Linked DNA regions of Bombyx mori. The main gene of each other region encodes a partner of the protein of the gene in region 3 in a complex. Links are inferred from orthologs where the notes say so. Each region holds a gene or a part of one and is shown on either strand. Other genes may lie near its edges.

What was found.
Region 1: protein brunelleschi (region 3) and trafficking protein particle complex subunit 12 share a complex: the UniProt entries of both Homo sapiens proteins name them as parts of the multisubunit TRAPP (transport protein particle) complex. The link is inferred for Bombyx mori from reciprocal best matches to the Homo sapiens genes TRAPPC9 and TRAPPC12.
Region 2: protein brunelleschi (region 3) and trafficking protein particle complex subunit 11 share a complex: the UniProt entries of both Homo sapiens proteins name them as parts of the multisubunit TRAPP (transport protein particle) complex. The link is inferred for Bombyx mori from reciprocal best matches to the Homo sapiens genes TRAPPC9 and TRAPPC11.
Region 4: protein brunelleschi (region 3) and trafficking protein particle complex subunit 8 share a complex: the UniProt entries of both Homo sapiens proteins name them as parts of the multisubunit TRAPP (transport protein particle) complex. The link is inferred for Bombyx mori from reciprocal best matches to the Homo sapiens genes TRAPPC9 and TRAPPC8.

Annotation. Positions count from the first base shown.
Region 1 is NC_085126.1:10,491,062-10,493,931, forward strand, and holds part of trafficking protein particle complex subunit 12, read right to left. Parts: intron 2,028-2,870; coding exon 1,904-2,027; intron 1,098-1,903; coding exon 849-1,097; 3' UTR 1-848. UniProt on the Homo sapiens protein: Component of the TRAPP complex, which is involved in endoplasmic reticulum to Golgi apparatus trafficking at a very early stage.
Region 2 is NC_085125.1:14,660,148-14,664,803, reverse strand, and holds the start of trafficking protein particle complex subunit 11, read right to left. Parts: upstream 3,050-4,656; 5' UTR 2,861-3,049; coding exon 1-2,860. UniProt on the Homo sapiens protein: Involved in endoplasmic reticulum to Golgi apparatus trafficking at a very early stage.
Region 3 is NC_085109.1:9,240,931-9,244,826, forward strand, and holds part of protein brunelleschi, read right to left. Parts: intron 3,202-3,896; coding exon 2,569-3,201; intron 1,660-2,568; coding exon 1,495-1,659; intron 1,074-1,494; coding exon 913-1,073; intron 619-912; coding exon 381-618; intron 1-380. UniProt on the Homo sapiens protein: Functions as an activator of NF-kappa-B through increased phosphorylation of the IKK complex. May function in neuronal cells differentiation. May play a role in vesicular transport from endoplasmic reticulum to Golgi.
Region 4 is NC_085111.1:9,714,441-9,718,898, reverse strand, and holds the start of trafficking protein particle complex subunit 8, read right to left. Parts: upstream 2,827-4,458; 5' UTR 2,643-2,826; coding exon 2,486-2,642; intron 1,824-2,485; coding exon 1,662-1,823; intron 973-1,661; coding exon 684-972; intron 394-683; coding exon 249-393; intron 1-248. UniProt on the Homo sapiens protein: Plays a role in endoplasmic reticulum to Golgi apparatus trafficking at a very early stage. Maintains together with TBC1D14 the cycling pool of ATG9 required for initiation of autophagy. Involved in collagen secretion.

The DNA.
Region 1 (2,870 bases), on a different chromosome or scaffold from region 3:
TTGACTTTGTATTCCATTGGCAGTCACAAAACTCTTCGGAACGACATCTTAGATAAATAACAGGTTAACTATTAACCTTTATTTAATGCAGGTTTTGAACCGTATTCTTTGAAGGAGACGATTATATTCAAATCAATCTGTATTGATATATCAATAACATTTTTTTGTCCAAATGCACAGATTGCCACCTTTGATAATAGACGACTCATATATCGAATTGACCGTGGCACACATATGACGTCTCACTCAGCGGAACATCATCCCGTTTCTAGCTCATCACTATTCGCTTTAACGCTATGAATAAAGGCTTCGTCAAACAGAACGCGTACTTAGCGCGCGTCAGAACGCTAAACTGACGCCACGCTATGACGCCGAGATGTGTTGTACTATTATGGTAACAAACTGTCATACAGAGCGCCAGCGCTTCTTCATTTCATTACACTGCATAATATCATTTTTCATAAAAATATGTGAATATAAATTAAAATAAGATATGACTTAAAGGTCTTAGTTACCGGGCCATAAAATCCCTTATAAAAAAAAAAAGAGCGCCAGCGCTGTAAGTACGCAACGCTATGTCGCGGCGTTAGGGCGCTTTGACGTTAGGCGTTGTAATTTTTTTCAAATTTCATTTTAGAGTCCTAGTGAATGTGTATAATTTTTTTTCATTTTGTATTTATTGCCCTTGTAGGCAGACGAGCATACGGCCCACCTGATGGTGAGTGGTTACCGTCGCCCATGGACTTCAGAAATACCAGGGACAAAGCCAAGCCGTTGCCTATCGAGCCAAGCCACCTGTTTGACGAAGTCTTTAGTTGAGCTTACGTGTTCACTGCTAGCCGCAGAGCCTACGCGAGCTTCAGACATTCGAGAACGTTCGGTATCGTGTCGCTCTTGTACTTGCACAGCATCCGCAACAGATTGAGCTTTTTCTCGTTCGTCTTGGACGACTCCAGTTCGTAAAGCGTGCACAGGTTGACGAGGAGGCTCTCGTTGAGGCCGCGTTCCGGGTCACTCTTTATCGCCTTCTGCAGCACCGATATGGCCTCCTTCAGGCGACCCATGTACAACAGGCACACGGAGATGTTGTTCGCGACCTGGGATCACAAATGTAAAGTACATATATATCATTTTGTTTTTTGAAGTTATACTTCTTTAGGCGCGTTATGAAAAATTGATGAGAGTGAAATTTTACGATGCGCGCGCACCGTGACACAAAATTAACCGAAATGAAGTCGCCCACTAAATCGCTCATTACAATACGACCGACGTAACTTGGCGAGTCTGAATATAGCCGCAGGTGAACTTTCCAAACCGTACCGAGAATTACCGAATTTATACGATGTCAAGAAAAGTGATGTCCCATATGCGTGTTTGAGGATGTTGTTTCATCGACTTTTTTTTCAATTTTATTAAAATATAAATAAAAAAAAACATTAATAAAAATAAAGTATAACTTCTTACGCGCGTACATAAGTACATGCATTCTTTTTTTCCCTACCCAAGCTGATAGATAACCTTGAGAGGCTATTTCAGCGTAACCTTAACTAGTAGGTGAGCTCACGGGGCTCAAACCTGATGACGTTGCTAACACGAACCCTAGCAAGAGCCGTGCTTCGCAGAATCTACCACCGGATCGGAAACGCGACCCACTGAGAAGATCCGGCGAGAAACTCAGTGGGCTGTGTCTGTGGGTTAATTTACTAGGTTGAGGTACCTAAAAGCACCGTTAGTAGATCGGGAGGATCCGAAACGACGTGTTTTGGGCGACGTCGACTGCTTTCCATTCTGTCCGCAGGATCGGGAATGCAAGGACTACTACAGTGTGGCAACAGTGAAGCAATCACTCAAGTAACATGTTCACGGGTGCTCACGAACGGTAGAGTTTAAGAACGAGCCGCACCATAATGTTCGTGGGTTCCTGGTCGGCCGCCCTCACGAAGTCGTTGTAGGCGTCTTCGTACTTCCCCTGAGCCATCGCCACCAGCCCGAGGTCCACGTACTCGCGCACGTCGGGCGTCGGACATCTGCAGACATCGCAACCCACCATCAGCGTGACCCCGCCACCCCGGAGAGTCCATACACATCAATTACTGGTGATAGGACCTCTTGCGAGTCCGTGCGGCTAGGTACCACCACCCCGCCTATTTCTGCCGTGAAGCAGTGATTTCGGTTTGAAGGGCGGAGCAGCCGTTGCAACTATACTGAGACCTTAGAACTTATATCTCAAGATGTCTATGGCCTCCATTAACCACTTAACACCAGGTGAGCTGTGAGCTCGTCTACCCATCTAATCAATAAATAAAAAAACATGACGAGACGGTCAGTCTTAATATCAAATCGGAACGCACGTCGGCTTCGCGGCAGAGATAGGCAGCGTGGACGTACCTACCCGCGCGAACCAATAAATAACAACAGAAAGTAAAGTACAATTAGTGTTTGTCTATATGTTCCGGGCATGACGTGGGAGGAGTTAGAACAGACTGCCCAAGACCGATACAAATGGAAAAATTTGATTCGAGCCCTACACCCCAGCAGAGGGTAATAGGAAAGCATGATGATGATGATATGTTCCGGGTGGTCAGAGATGCTATGTTTATGGGTTCCTGTAACCGCTTTACAGCATGAGGACTGTGAGCTTGATCACATCTCTATGCAATAAAAAATATTTTTTTTTTAGAAAAAACAATTACGTGACCATATATTATGTGAGATTAAGTAAATAACAGTCTTTTGGAAAAGTAGCAAAATTTCATAAATTAGCACACGTCGTAAAACGTTCATACCTCTAATGCCCGATCGCCATCTTGAACTTCTCTCTTCCGTCCCTTTCTTCCTCATACATTCATCCCTTTCACTCTAAACGTTCC
Region 2 (4,656 bases), on a different chromosome or scaffold from region 3:
TTGGATTATCTTTAGGATTGTATTTAGCTTGAATACAAATTGCATCTGAAGCTATGTTTTTCTCTGCCACTTCTAGATTTCTGATGCAGGATATAGGCTTAGTTTTGTCTGTATTTTTAAATGAATCGACCACCTCTAATTCTGTGTCAATTATTAAAAGATCCCAAGGACTTAAAATTTTAATTTGTGGCATGACAATAAAGGGGTCATCAACAAAGCATTTAGAAATAGGACTAAAGTCTGTACTAACAAATGCACTGGTTACTTCAAAAGGTTTGATGACAGTTATTTTACATGTAAAATCTTTCATGCACTCTAGTTTCTTGATTGCAGGAAGGTCTATGATGTATGATATTCTAATTTGAACTGTTATTGTGGCTGTTCTGTTTGTTTTTAAGTAGAATGTATTAGTGTGAGTTCCTGATCTGTTAACATTGCCCACAGAAATATGTAAAGGTTGTAACTGAGCTTCACCTTCCTTCAAACTTAAATCTGTTACTGACTCAGGGTTAGGATTTTCAGGTGAACTTAATAAAGATAATGCTATCTTTGTACTAGATACAGCAATTTCCTCATTGTTTGTTACTGTGAAAGTGGTTGGAAACCATTCTCCCTGTAGAGCAGGACTACAATTTGTAACTTCAATGGACCATTTACACTCTCTTGATGTTACTGAAGCTACTCTCAAAGGCACAATGCAATCAAATTCATAGTCAGATTTAGGGCTCATGATGAAGTGTAACAATTCTGGATGTATAATTGACTCTGACTTCTTGTCATCAGTTTTAAAATTCAATATAATTTTTCTTTTCCTTTCAGAATCAAGAACAAAAGATACACATTTTATCTGTAAATCTGATCCAACATCCTTGGGATTAGGTTTGAACTGACACAAAAACCTTTTCACTTTGCTCCCTTCTAATGTTATGGTCTGATTAATATCATCAGTTACTGGGATCTCAATAGTCTCAGATTGACTTGATATTGTCAAATACACCTTCTTTACTTCTAGGACAGCTGGATATGTTAGCCTAACATACAGTTCCACTTCAATTAACTCATCCATTCTATATTTCATCTGTTTGAATTTAGGTTTGATTTCCAAAAAACTGGAGATGTTGGCCATATCCACAGCAACCTGCAAAGGCTCTTTTTCGATCATGGACTGCCACAATTCCACAGCTTTGCTTTGAGAAGAGGATGGCAGGTCGGGTTCAGGAGCTGGAATGTTTAAATGTATAACAGACATTATATTTCTGAATATCCTATCTTTATCATTGTTTGGCACCTGGATATTTTTAGAGAGTGCTTCAATTGACAGCTGTAAATAGTCTTGTATTTTTGCTGCAAGGTATGCACACTGCAGAGCTCTGTTCAAGACATGTGAAGCTAAATACCACCATTTTTCTCTCCTGTAATCCCACAACATGTGAGTCAGCAAAGTTAGTGCTTTCCCATAGTCAGCAGAATAAAAATATTCATTTGCCATTTCAACTACTAGTTGCTTCCTCATTCTAGGAGAGTGAAATGACTTAAACTGTGAGATAGCACTGCCAAGGAAGCTGATGATGATTGTAGAATGATTGAATATCCTTTCATTGTATTGTAGAGCTAAGATAGCTGCCTGTTCTTTTTGAGGGTCATGAGGATCTGCACTTAAACGACCAGGTCTCCAAGGTCGCTGACCATAATATTCTAGAATACCATCTAAAGGATCTGGAGCAGGTGGATACTGTAATGCTTCAGCACAAAGAGAGCGCATAGCCTGTCTTCTTTTTACAGTAAACTGAGCTGCATGCTGGTAGTAAAACCCAGGATGCTGAGATTGAATGGCTGGCAGACCAGCCCTGATAGCTTCATCAAAAAGTTCTCCAAAGGCACTGTACTGTCTAGCTAGCCACGCATAATGTTCAAACAGTAGGTCAGTAGAACCAACTCTACTTTTGTATTTCTCAATGTGAGATTTTAATTGTGAAATTGCATCTCTTGGCAAATTTAATGCAAAAAGTATCTTGCACAGTTTGTAGTTAATATAGCCAGCAACTGTTCTAACTTCATGCAGGTTTGTATCTACTGTTCTTGTTTCCAGCAGGTTGTTGTAAGCATGAACATAATGCTTATGTGCAGTATTGATGTCCTGCTTCAACTCATTCAGATAGCCCAGTTTGAACTGATGTCTGACAAAGAGATACTGATGTGTTGTTTTATTGAGGTGGTCTCTGTGCTGCTTAATGTTTTTTGCTTCATGGTGGTAATAATTTTGTGCAATATCATAAAATGCATTTTCTAACCGGACTATATAACCCATTAAGTGATCACCATGAGGAAGCACAAACAAGGATTTAGACTGGATCTCACAAGCAGCACAAAGTGCCTGGGCACGCTCGGCTCCAAGCATGTACTCAGAAGGAGGAGGAGATTGCCGACTTTGTATGACTACTACAGCCACACGAGTAGCATGTCCCTCTACTGCAGCACGGATAGACTGGACTTTGGATGCACATTCTATAATTTTCTCATTCCACTGTGTATCATTCCAATCCATATCATAGAAAATGACTATGACAGCGGGTATTAGCGATACACGCTTGTGTATCCAGTTTTTTTTTAGTATGCCTTTAGGTATGTACCATTCGTATGAATTTCTCTTAGGCTTTACCACTGGAAACTCAAACGTATTGTTAAGTAATTTGAATCTCACAGGCGTGCGATCAGCGCGTCGGTTATTCGCGAATGCGTCCCAGATTTCTTTGTGAACGGCATTGTTAACTGCATCAAGTCCAGATAGTCCTATCAGAGCCAGAGGTTTCAGAATGATCTCCGTAGGGAATTCGGTATAATCATTAGGCTGGGTAGCCATTTTATATGAGCTTAATCATGCAGTAGTATAGCACACTTTAACTTCTAAATACTATTTTAAACATCTCAAATATCACGGTGAACACAAATTCAGATTCTTCTACACGACAGTGACACCCCCATCATTCGTTTCACAAATTTTTAACGTAAAACGTCAGGGAGTAATGTCAAAAGTAAAATTGAAAGCTTTGCTTTGACGTCTGACGTTTTAGAAAGATTTAGTATGTAAGTCGTAAATAGCAGTAGCCATAGAAAAAAATGTACCTGAGGGAGCTCATATAGAGTCCCTTCTTTATTTCGCCTGGTTGTGTTTTATGTAATTAACACCACAGTTGGAACAATATTAATTTTATTGTTGTAGCGGCATAAAGTAATTACATTAAATTAGTTATTTAACTCATTATAAATTATTTTTATGTTTTTCATATTTGGCGGTAAAAAAGGTATTGTGGCACAGACTATCTCCTTTTTCCCACATCTCGTGCGTTCCGGCTTACGCATAATAAAACGCCACACCACCCCCCTACGGAGAAGGAGAATCCGCAGAAAAAGAGAAAAATTATCATAGGTCGAAAGGTTTGGAGAAGTGGACTCTGCGACCTGACCGGGTGGTATATTGAGGTGTATGTGTAGGAGTAGCAGTTAGAGGTGCCGAAGGCACGAGTGGACATGAAGGGACATTAGTAGCATCCGGTTGCGCTGGTTGAGGCACAGAAACCCGCGGTGCTGGGGCTGGAACGAGATCTACTAAAGAATGCTCGACGAAAGCTGGCTTAATTCTGTCGACACTGACCGTCACCTGTTTCCCTTTTACATCAATCGACCACGTTTTTCCGTCCTCGGCTCTAGATATAACTCTATGAGGACCAGAGTAAGGTGGTTGCATTGAACGTCTAACCGAATCCTCCCTGAGCATGACATGAGAGGCGGTGGAAAGATTTTTAAATATGAAAGGTGATGGTTTAGTGTGTGAGGAACATGGAGTGGGACGCAATTTAGACATACGCTGTCTTAACTTTACGACAAAATCCGTCGGGTCCTCGAAACCAGAAGGACCGGGAGGTACTAACAGTTCCCCTGGAAGCGTTAATGTTTCTCCGTAAAGCAATTCCGCTACTGTTGCTTGTAGATCTTCTTTAAAAGCTGAACGCATTCCTAATAAGACCAAAGGTAATGCATTCAACCACGAATCATCATAACACATCAGAGAGGCCTTTAATTGTCTATGCATGCGCTCCACGAGCCCATTGGCACAAGGGTGGTAACTAGTAGTGCGTATACGTTTAGTACCACATAAATTAGTAAGGCGTCTGAAAAGGTCCGACTCGAACTGTCGTCCCTGGTCGGTAGTGATGACAGCAGGTACTCCGAATCGAGCAATCCAACCGGCTACAAAGGTGCTCGCCACTTCTTCTGCTGTTATTCCGTGCATAGGCCAAACTTCGGGCCATCGAGTGTAGCGATCCACAGCAGTCAGGCAGTATTGGAAGTCAGAACAAGATGGAAGAGGGCCTATGATGTCAATATGGACATGCTTCAGTCGAGACGTAGGACTGGAGAAGTGTCCAAGTGGAGATTTTATATGCCGCGTCACCTTACTTCGCTGGCAAGCAACGCAGGTTTGGCACCAATAACGGCAATCTTTGGCAATGCCAGGCCACACGAAACGGTCTGAGATCAATCGAATGGTTGATCTAGTACCAGGATGGCTAAGATTATGTAGCTGAGCAAAAATCTTCTTTCGCATAGGTTCCGATACAAATGGGCGTGGTCGCCCTGTTGACATGTCGCAGACCA
Region 3 (3,896 bases):
TACCTAACAGCAGTCGTACAAAGTGGAACTTATAAGTTCTTCGTGGCAGAAATAGGCAAGATCATGGATATATATGTCCCCTAAGCCCCTGTAACCAGTAATTTAGCCAATTAAGATAATTTTTTTAAGACGATGGTATTCCTTAGTTGTGGAAGTCATTTGTAAACATTACTTAAGTATGTAACATGTAAAGAATTCCTATGTTTCCTTGTAAAAATTGGTACTACTTTAAGCTGCTAATAGTCCATTCACAAAAGTTCGAAAAGGTAACTTAGTTGATGGAAGTCATCTGGCTAGGCCTCGGTAAACACTTAAACCAATTCGTCCAATTGTCGTCGCTAATAAGCAAAATAAAATTTTAATAATTATCGAGAACTCACCCATTTTCCCTTCTTGTTTCTTAGCGTTCCTCTCCAAGCTGCCGAAGTGTATCGGTGTAAATATGAAAGGTCCGTGGTGGGCCTTCGATTTAACAAGATGCGGAGCCCTCGCCGGAGGTAACGGCCTGGGTGTGAACCAAGAACAGTTCGGTACGTGACTGAGGTTCGCTGGTGGAATTACCTCGCCTGTTTCCAGCACGAGAGGAACCGGACCCCCTTCGCATTGCGCTGATAAAGCCTTGAAGGAAACGAACAAAAACTTTGTAATTCTAGCAACACTAACTTATCAATTTTGTATATCTTCAGAACGTTTTCATTTGTTACAAGTTACAAGTTTTTTTTTCTATATCAATTTATATAATTATACAATAGTATTTAATTAGTATCCAAATTGGTAATAATTTTTAGACTTCAAACACGTGTTAAGATAATTATCAAATGGTCTTGCATAGTTCCTTCGATGGCTGGGTTTATAAAATTATTAGAGGATGCAAGGAACGATCGGTTAGTACTTGAACGATCCGATAGATACCTGCAATTGTATGGCCAGATCTCGGTGTTCCTGCTTGGTCAGATGAGGCCACATCGTTTGAAGTAAAAACGTCATGTGCCTTGTCGCAAGAGCCGGGTGACCCATCCTACGGGCGGCCACAACTAGTTCTTGTAGTAACTGAATCTGAAGCGCTGGCCAGCCTTGCGTAACACAATTAAATTATAAGTGATATATGTTTCACAGAAATTTAGATTTTTTTTATAAAGATTTTAGGACCTGGTAACATGACCTTTAAGCCAAGTCTTATAATTTCTTCCTTTATTGTTTTATGAAGTATGATATCAAACGAAATGAGATAAGAGAGAAGCGAATGAGACAACGTTATTAATTTTTTAATAAGTTAAATAAGTTAAAAGTTATTAATTTAAAAGTCCCTTCGAATATAAATTCGAAATTATTCTTATTTTATATTCGCTTTTTATCCGTTTTATAAACGTACTTAAAGAAGTCTGCTATTAAAGTTCGCTAGTTTTTTAGTATTCTAGGCTAGTTATCAAGAAATCTATCTGCTGTAAGGGATCATTGAAATGAAAAATAATAACATCTGTGCGAAATACTTACCAACTTGGTGTTGTACAACGTAATTGGGATCTAAGCTAAGTTTGTGTCCTGGGAAGCTGTGCAGCATGAGATAGTAGCACCGTTGCCAATCTGGATTCGGGTTATTCGGACTAACCTGTCTCGTCGCCGCCAATCGTTGGCAAAATGCTGCTTTACGGAGGAAACCTAAAAAAATATTATCTCTACAAATTTTATCAACAAAATTACTAAATTTAATGTTTAACTCTAAAAGTCCGACTGGCGGGGCTTTTGTGAGTTCGGTATTCCGGGCTGTTGGCGAAGATGCTAATAATATGGAAATAATGTTGACACTGATTTGTATGAGGTTTTAATATAAAAGCGACACAATAACTAAATTAAAATAAAATACAAAATGAGTTGAAAACAGTACAGATAAACTAAGACTAACAATATTTTGCCGGTCGTCGTTGCGCGCGATGAGGGCGTGTGTTTTCGCGCTCCGAGAGCTCTGTCTCAGCGGGGGGTAAGGCGGCGACGGGGACGGTATCGCACGTTCGGATATTTGGTTCCGTTATAAATGTCATTATTTATTGATATATTAATTACCAGCTTTGCCCGTGACGTCAACCGCGTGAACTTAGGTAGTCGCTTGGAAGTTCATTTACATAAATCATGTTTTAGAACCATGGTGTAATTTAAGAAACTAACAACGCCATATATGCTTTATAGATAAGGTAAGCAACGGTAATTTCTTAAAATTTTAATAATTTTACCATAAATGGAGAATTCATGTTTTAGCTTTAATAAACAACAACAGTATTGATGAAGTGAAACTAAAAAGTTAATATCAAAATATATTCATTATAATTATAATTGTTTTTTGCTGATGAATCCGTGAAGCAGTAATGCGTTTCGATTTGAAGGGCGGGGCAGCCGTTGTAACTATACTTGAGACCTTAGATCTTATATCTCAAGGTGAGTGGCGCATTTACGTTGTAGATGTCTATGGGCTCCAGTAACCATTTTACACCAGGTGGGCTGTGAGCTCGTCCACTCATCTAAGCAATAAAAAAATAAAAAAAGAACTCTTCTAGCCGAATAAATAATACTTACCAATATCTTTATAAAGTTCGGCTAACGTGTCAAATCGTTGTATCTTCTCCTGTTCGCTCAGCGTCAAGTTAATGAATATCACGTTCTGCAGAAAGCTGGACGCGTGTAAACTATTATTCTGCTCAACCGCTATCCGGGCTGCCTTAAAGCAAGCCTCGGTTTCAATGATACCGGCGTTCTGGTACTTGCTGTAGTGGATTATCGCCTTGCGATACTTTTCCGCGATTTCTTCTCCATTCAACAAATATTGGTTAGTGATCTGCGATGGCGGTTGGCGCGGTATCGACGGTAGTTCTGTGCTTAAATAGGATTTGGGGCTTTGGTATTCAATATCGCTGGACGAAGCTAAGGATTCCGTGTCACCGTTGTCGGTCTCCGATTGTCTTGAGGACGTGTCAATGCTCTCTGAGGAAGTCGGAGTTAGTTCACTCGGTGGATTAATTGGACTCGACGTTTTGGAATTACGTAAGGGTGACGAATTCAGTTTGAACTTTCTAAATGGATCAGTTGGCTGGAAGAGAGACAAAGGCTTGCTTTTGCTCGGCGAACTTTCTTGAAGGCTCGCGTTTCGCTGTAGCGGTGTGGAGTTACGTAAATTCGGATACAGTAGTATAGCAGACGACGCACATAATCCTGCAACAACATTAAACTATAGTGATAGTTGTGGTTAAAATAAATTAATAAATATTAAAAATGTCTTTTTTTTGTTAGAATTGTTTATATTTTAACTAAATCTAATTTAAAACTAAATCAGTACCCGACGTCACTGATCAAGTGGTATTACTAGTCATCACTGGTAATGCTAGAATTATGATTGTATTTCACTAACGCACCACTCACTACCGGAGCCAAGGTCATTCATCCCTATTACATACAGTTCTAGCTTTTATCCTCAGCGGAATTGAAAAGATGGCTTATATTAGACATGCCACGAATATTCGGCTACTATTCTGTATTCGGCCTATTCGGCCACTTTGTTTGGTATTCGGTATTCGACCGAATAATAGGTACTATTCGGCCGAATACCGAATACCGAAAAATGACGGGCATGTCTCAAATCACGTTTGGTAAAAAACTCTAATCATGATTTTTGTTTATTATTTTCACTACAAATCTCATAATATTCCCATATGGTCGATTTTTTACTAATTGGTGTCATTTTTTAATGAACAAACAATTGAAAAAAAAAACTAACGAACAAACTTTTCTACAAAATCGTAATGTTTTATTTAATTTGTTATTTATATTGATCTGACAAAGCGTGCCGTGACGTGATTTACTCGCAACTGAAACAGTCAAATGGCCGGACACCGCCCGCGCACGATGGA
Region 4 (4,458 bases), on a different chromosome or scaffold from region 3:
ACGTTTCTTTTTGAATATTATAATTTTGTCACACCTAATTCTCATTTATTTGGACACTTTATTTTAATCTAGATAAATAGTAATTTAATTATGTTTTTATTGCCCTGATAGGCAAACGGCCAGACAGCCCATCTGATGATGAGTGGTTACTGTGGCTTATGGACGTTAGCAATCCCAGGGGAAAACCCATGTCACTGCCTACCAAAAATTTTAATTAGTTTCATTCTGTCATAGAAAAATTTACATACGGTGGAATCTGGAGATCTCTTAATATACTGGCTCCATAAATCTGCAGGTACATTAGCATCTGACGTACTTTTAGAATTAATGGGAAGCATAAAACAACTATTAGGTCCAAAAGCATGTTTCAACGTGTCAAACACAGCATCAGCCCTTTAACATAAATAAAATACAATGGCATTAACTTAAATAATTTTCGATATTATGTTTTTTTTTTTATTGCTTTTGTAGGCAGACGGGCATACGGCTGATGGTGAGTGGTTACCGTCGCCCATGGACTTCAGCAATGCCAGGGGCAGAGCCAAGCCGCTGCCTACCGAAACACCTATGTCACATTCCAGCGGCGGAATTCACATTGTGGTGGATTTCAGTAAGAACCTAACATCAGTTGAGCCGCACTCTCATCTGACCATCTATATTATTGACGGAAATAAAGAACATACCTTTCTTTTGAAACAACAGATACATCATGAAGTAGTAAATATGTTTTCAGAATACAATTGTTGAACCATTTAGGCAATTTTGGTGGCATTACATTCTGTAGTTGGGCATATTGTTGATTCAGGCCATTGAAAGTGTCCACAACATTTTCGTCATCAGTTGTTCCCACAATAATACATGACAGGAAATGTTTTGTGAATTCATGGTCAGATGGAAATTGCACATCTAGGTATGTTTCCCTCCAAGCATCAAACCAATGTGTTGATTGGGGTATTAAAAAACTTCGACCAGCTAAAATATGTGTTAAAAAAATATTATTTTTCATTGTTATTTTAATGTTTTTCAACAAAATCAAAACACTCTTCAATTGCTAAACTAAGCATAATTCATCACCCATAGACAAATACTATAAAATCTACTTAAAATATTGATTTTAAAATTAAATTGCATTTTGATACTTATATACACATAAATATGTAGGTATTTTTTAGAATTGCATGGTTTATTTATTTTTGGTAAACTAACTACTGTTTAGAAGTTTCCACGGTTTGTAAGTTCCACAAGGTGAATTATCCTTTTGACATTCAAAATCAGTCCTTGCTGCATTGATGCAATGGGTGATTTACCCTTCAAACCAGAAAGGATGTTGGCTTTATATACAGAATTCATATCATTTAAGGAAAGAACAAAACGATAGGAAGCTGCTTAGAGTTTGCTGGCTCGTTTTGTGAGTCCTCTTGTGAGTCCGCACGGGTAGGTACCACCACCCTGCCTATTCTGCCGTGAAGCAGTAATGCGTTTCGGTTTAAAGGGTGGGGCTGCCGTTGTAACTATTCGGAGACCTTAGAACTTATATCTCAAGGTGTGTGGCGCATTTAACTTGTAGATGTATATGGGCTCCAGTAACCACTTAACACCATGTGGGCTGTGAGCTCGTCCACACATCTAAGCAATAAAAAAATTCACATTTAAATGCTCACCTAATTCAACAGATATAGTTTTGTCATTGTAATTATAAAGAACAGCATTATTGAGCTGTCTTCTAGCCTCAGTAGGCTGTAGGGGTTTCCAGTTCACATCTCTCACAATTAGCTTCATATTTTTTATGACACAAGTATTGCCACCAGGTTCACGGAACTGACCTGAACAAATAAAAAAAATCATGTTTTATAATGGCGATGCTCCATTCTATTATATTAGTATATATAAATAAAAGGTGTGATTGACTTCTTCACTACTTACAATATTTATTTAGCAAGAGTAATGCAGTTTTTCTTAATTAAATTTTATGATTTATTGAAGGTAAATCTATTCCATATTATATTGTTTCTTAAGATATTAACTTACCATTTGACTATTGTACCAACAAATTTCATCATTAAATTTTATACTAGAATGCCATTACTACAATACTGCAATACTTTAATTTTTCTTTGGTAGGGAACCATTTGAGGGGAGAAATTAAATATCTTTAATAATTTATAAAATATAGTAGAAGTCAAAATTGAGATAGTCAATTTCATATGAAAGAGTCTAATAGAATGGCATGGATTGTGTGGAACCAAAGGCTGGCTCAGTATTTTCAGAAATATATTTATTCAATTAATGTAATTGAATTCTACATGTGATGGTTGTGTTCTTTATAAATATAAAATAAATAATGAAAAAATGTATCCCTGCTTTTAAGCAGTAATACTTTAGTATCCCATATTTTAAGCAGCTGTATGAAAGATAGATTATTGGCAGATAATAAAGACTAGCGTTCTGATGTTGTTTTACTTGAAGGTATTCAAGATTTGTTTACCTTCCCAATCCAAATTGCAAAATGGTTGTAATAATTCAGGAAACGTTACATTATTTTTCGACACAATATTTTCAACCTTTTGACTGCATAGTACTGCAACTATAGGCGAAAACGAACTCTGAATAAATTCTTGGGCTGTTTTTCCAGTTCTAGCCATTTTTGATAATGTTTTTTTTGCGGGTGCTGAATAAATGAAGTATAGCTTAATATAAATATGTACAGTTAACTGAATATGTACATGTTATTTTGAAAACACTTTCAAATATATAATAAGTTATTAAAAATCACTTTGTATTTTGTAAATATGCTATGTAGTAGTAGTTTTATTTTTCCAAACAGAAAGGCAAGGACATCTCTCCATACAGCCTGATCTTTTTTTTATGAAGTATGACATGAAATGAAATGAAGCTGATTAATTTAATATGAAATATGGCATTGCATGAAATGAAATGAATTGAAATGAGATGAGATGAGATGATATGATATGGGATATTTTTATGATAAATGATAATATGGAGTGAAATGAAATGAAGAATTTGAGACATTAATCAACTGGGATGAAATTAAATGAAATGATATGGGACGAAATATAATCTCAGTATGCCAACAGGGATGCTGCACACCTCCAGCGGTCCGCATACGTGGCATGGGATGATGCCAGAAGACGTCGGGATCCTAACATCTCGGGGGAAAGGCGGAAATTTATCGCCGCTTCCAGGTCCTACAAGAAGGTTATTGCCAGAGCGAAGTCGGAGCACGTAGCTAGAGTTGGCGAGCGACTAAACAGCTATCCCTCCGGGAGCCGTGCTTTTTGGTCGCTCGCCAAAGCTGCAGAAGGAAACTTTTGCAGGTCTAGTCTCCCACCGTTGCGCAAGACCGATGATACTGGCTCACAGTACGAAAGAGAAGGCTGACCTTCTGGTCAAACTCTTCGGCTTGAACTCGACCGTGGACGACGAGGGTGCCACACCACCGAACATCCCCCGGTGTGATAGCTCCCTGCCGGAGATCTGCTTCACACAGTGTGCAGTCAGGCGTCAGACTCCTGGACGTCCATAAGTCGAGTGGGCCAGACGGCAGGCATCCCCGCAGTGGTTCTGAAAACGTGTGCCCCTGAGCTGACACCTACGCTAACGCGTTTGTATCGCCTCTCTTATTGCACTAACAGGGTTCCGTCTTCATGGAAGACCGCCCACGTCCACCCTATCCCCAAAAAGGGTAACCGGTCGGACCCATCGAGCTATAGGCCTATCGCGATAACTTCCTTGCTTTCCAAGATGATGCAGCGAATAATAAATACACAACTCCTGAAGTATCTTTAAGATCACCAGCTGATCAGTGACCGACAGTACGGTTTCCGTCACGGTCGCTCAGCTGGCGATCTTCTTGTATACCTTACTCACAGGTGGGCTGAAGCCTTGGAGAGCAAGGGCGAGGATCTTGCTGTGAGCCTTGATATCGCGAAGGCCTCCGACAGGGTCTGGCATAGGGCACTACTGTCGAAGCTACCATCTTACGGAATCCCCGAGGGACTCTGCAAGTGAATCGCTAGCTTTTTGGATGGGCGGAGCATCACGGTCGTTCTAGATGGTGACTGCTCTGATACCATGACCATTAACGCTGGCGTTCCACAAGGTTCGGTGCTCTCCCCCACGCTTTTCATCCTGTATATCAATGACATGCTGTCTATTGATGGCATGCATTGCTATGCGGATGACAGCACGGAGGATGCGCGATATATCGGCCATCAGAGTCTCTCTCGGAACGTGGTGCAAGAGAGACGATCAAAACTTGTGTCTGCAGTGGAGAACTCCGGAAGAGGGCCGTTCGGATTGTCGATAATCCCATCCTTACGGATCGTTTGGAGCTTCTGGGTCTGCGGAGGGACTTCGGTTCCCTCTGTATTTGGTACCGTATGTTCCAGTGGGAGTGCTCTGAGGAATTGTTTCAGATTATCCCCTCATCTCCTTTCT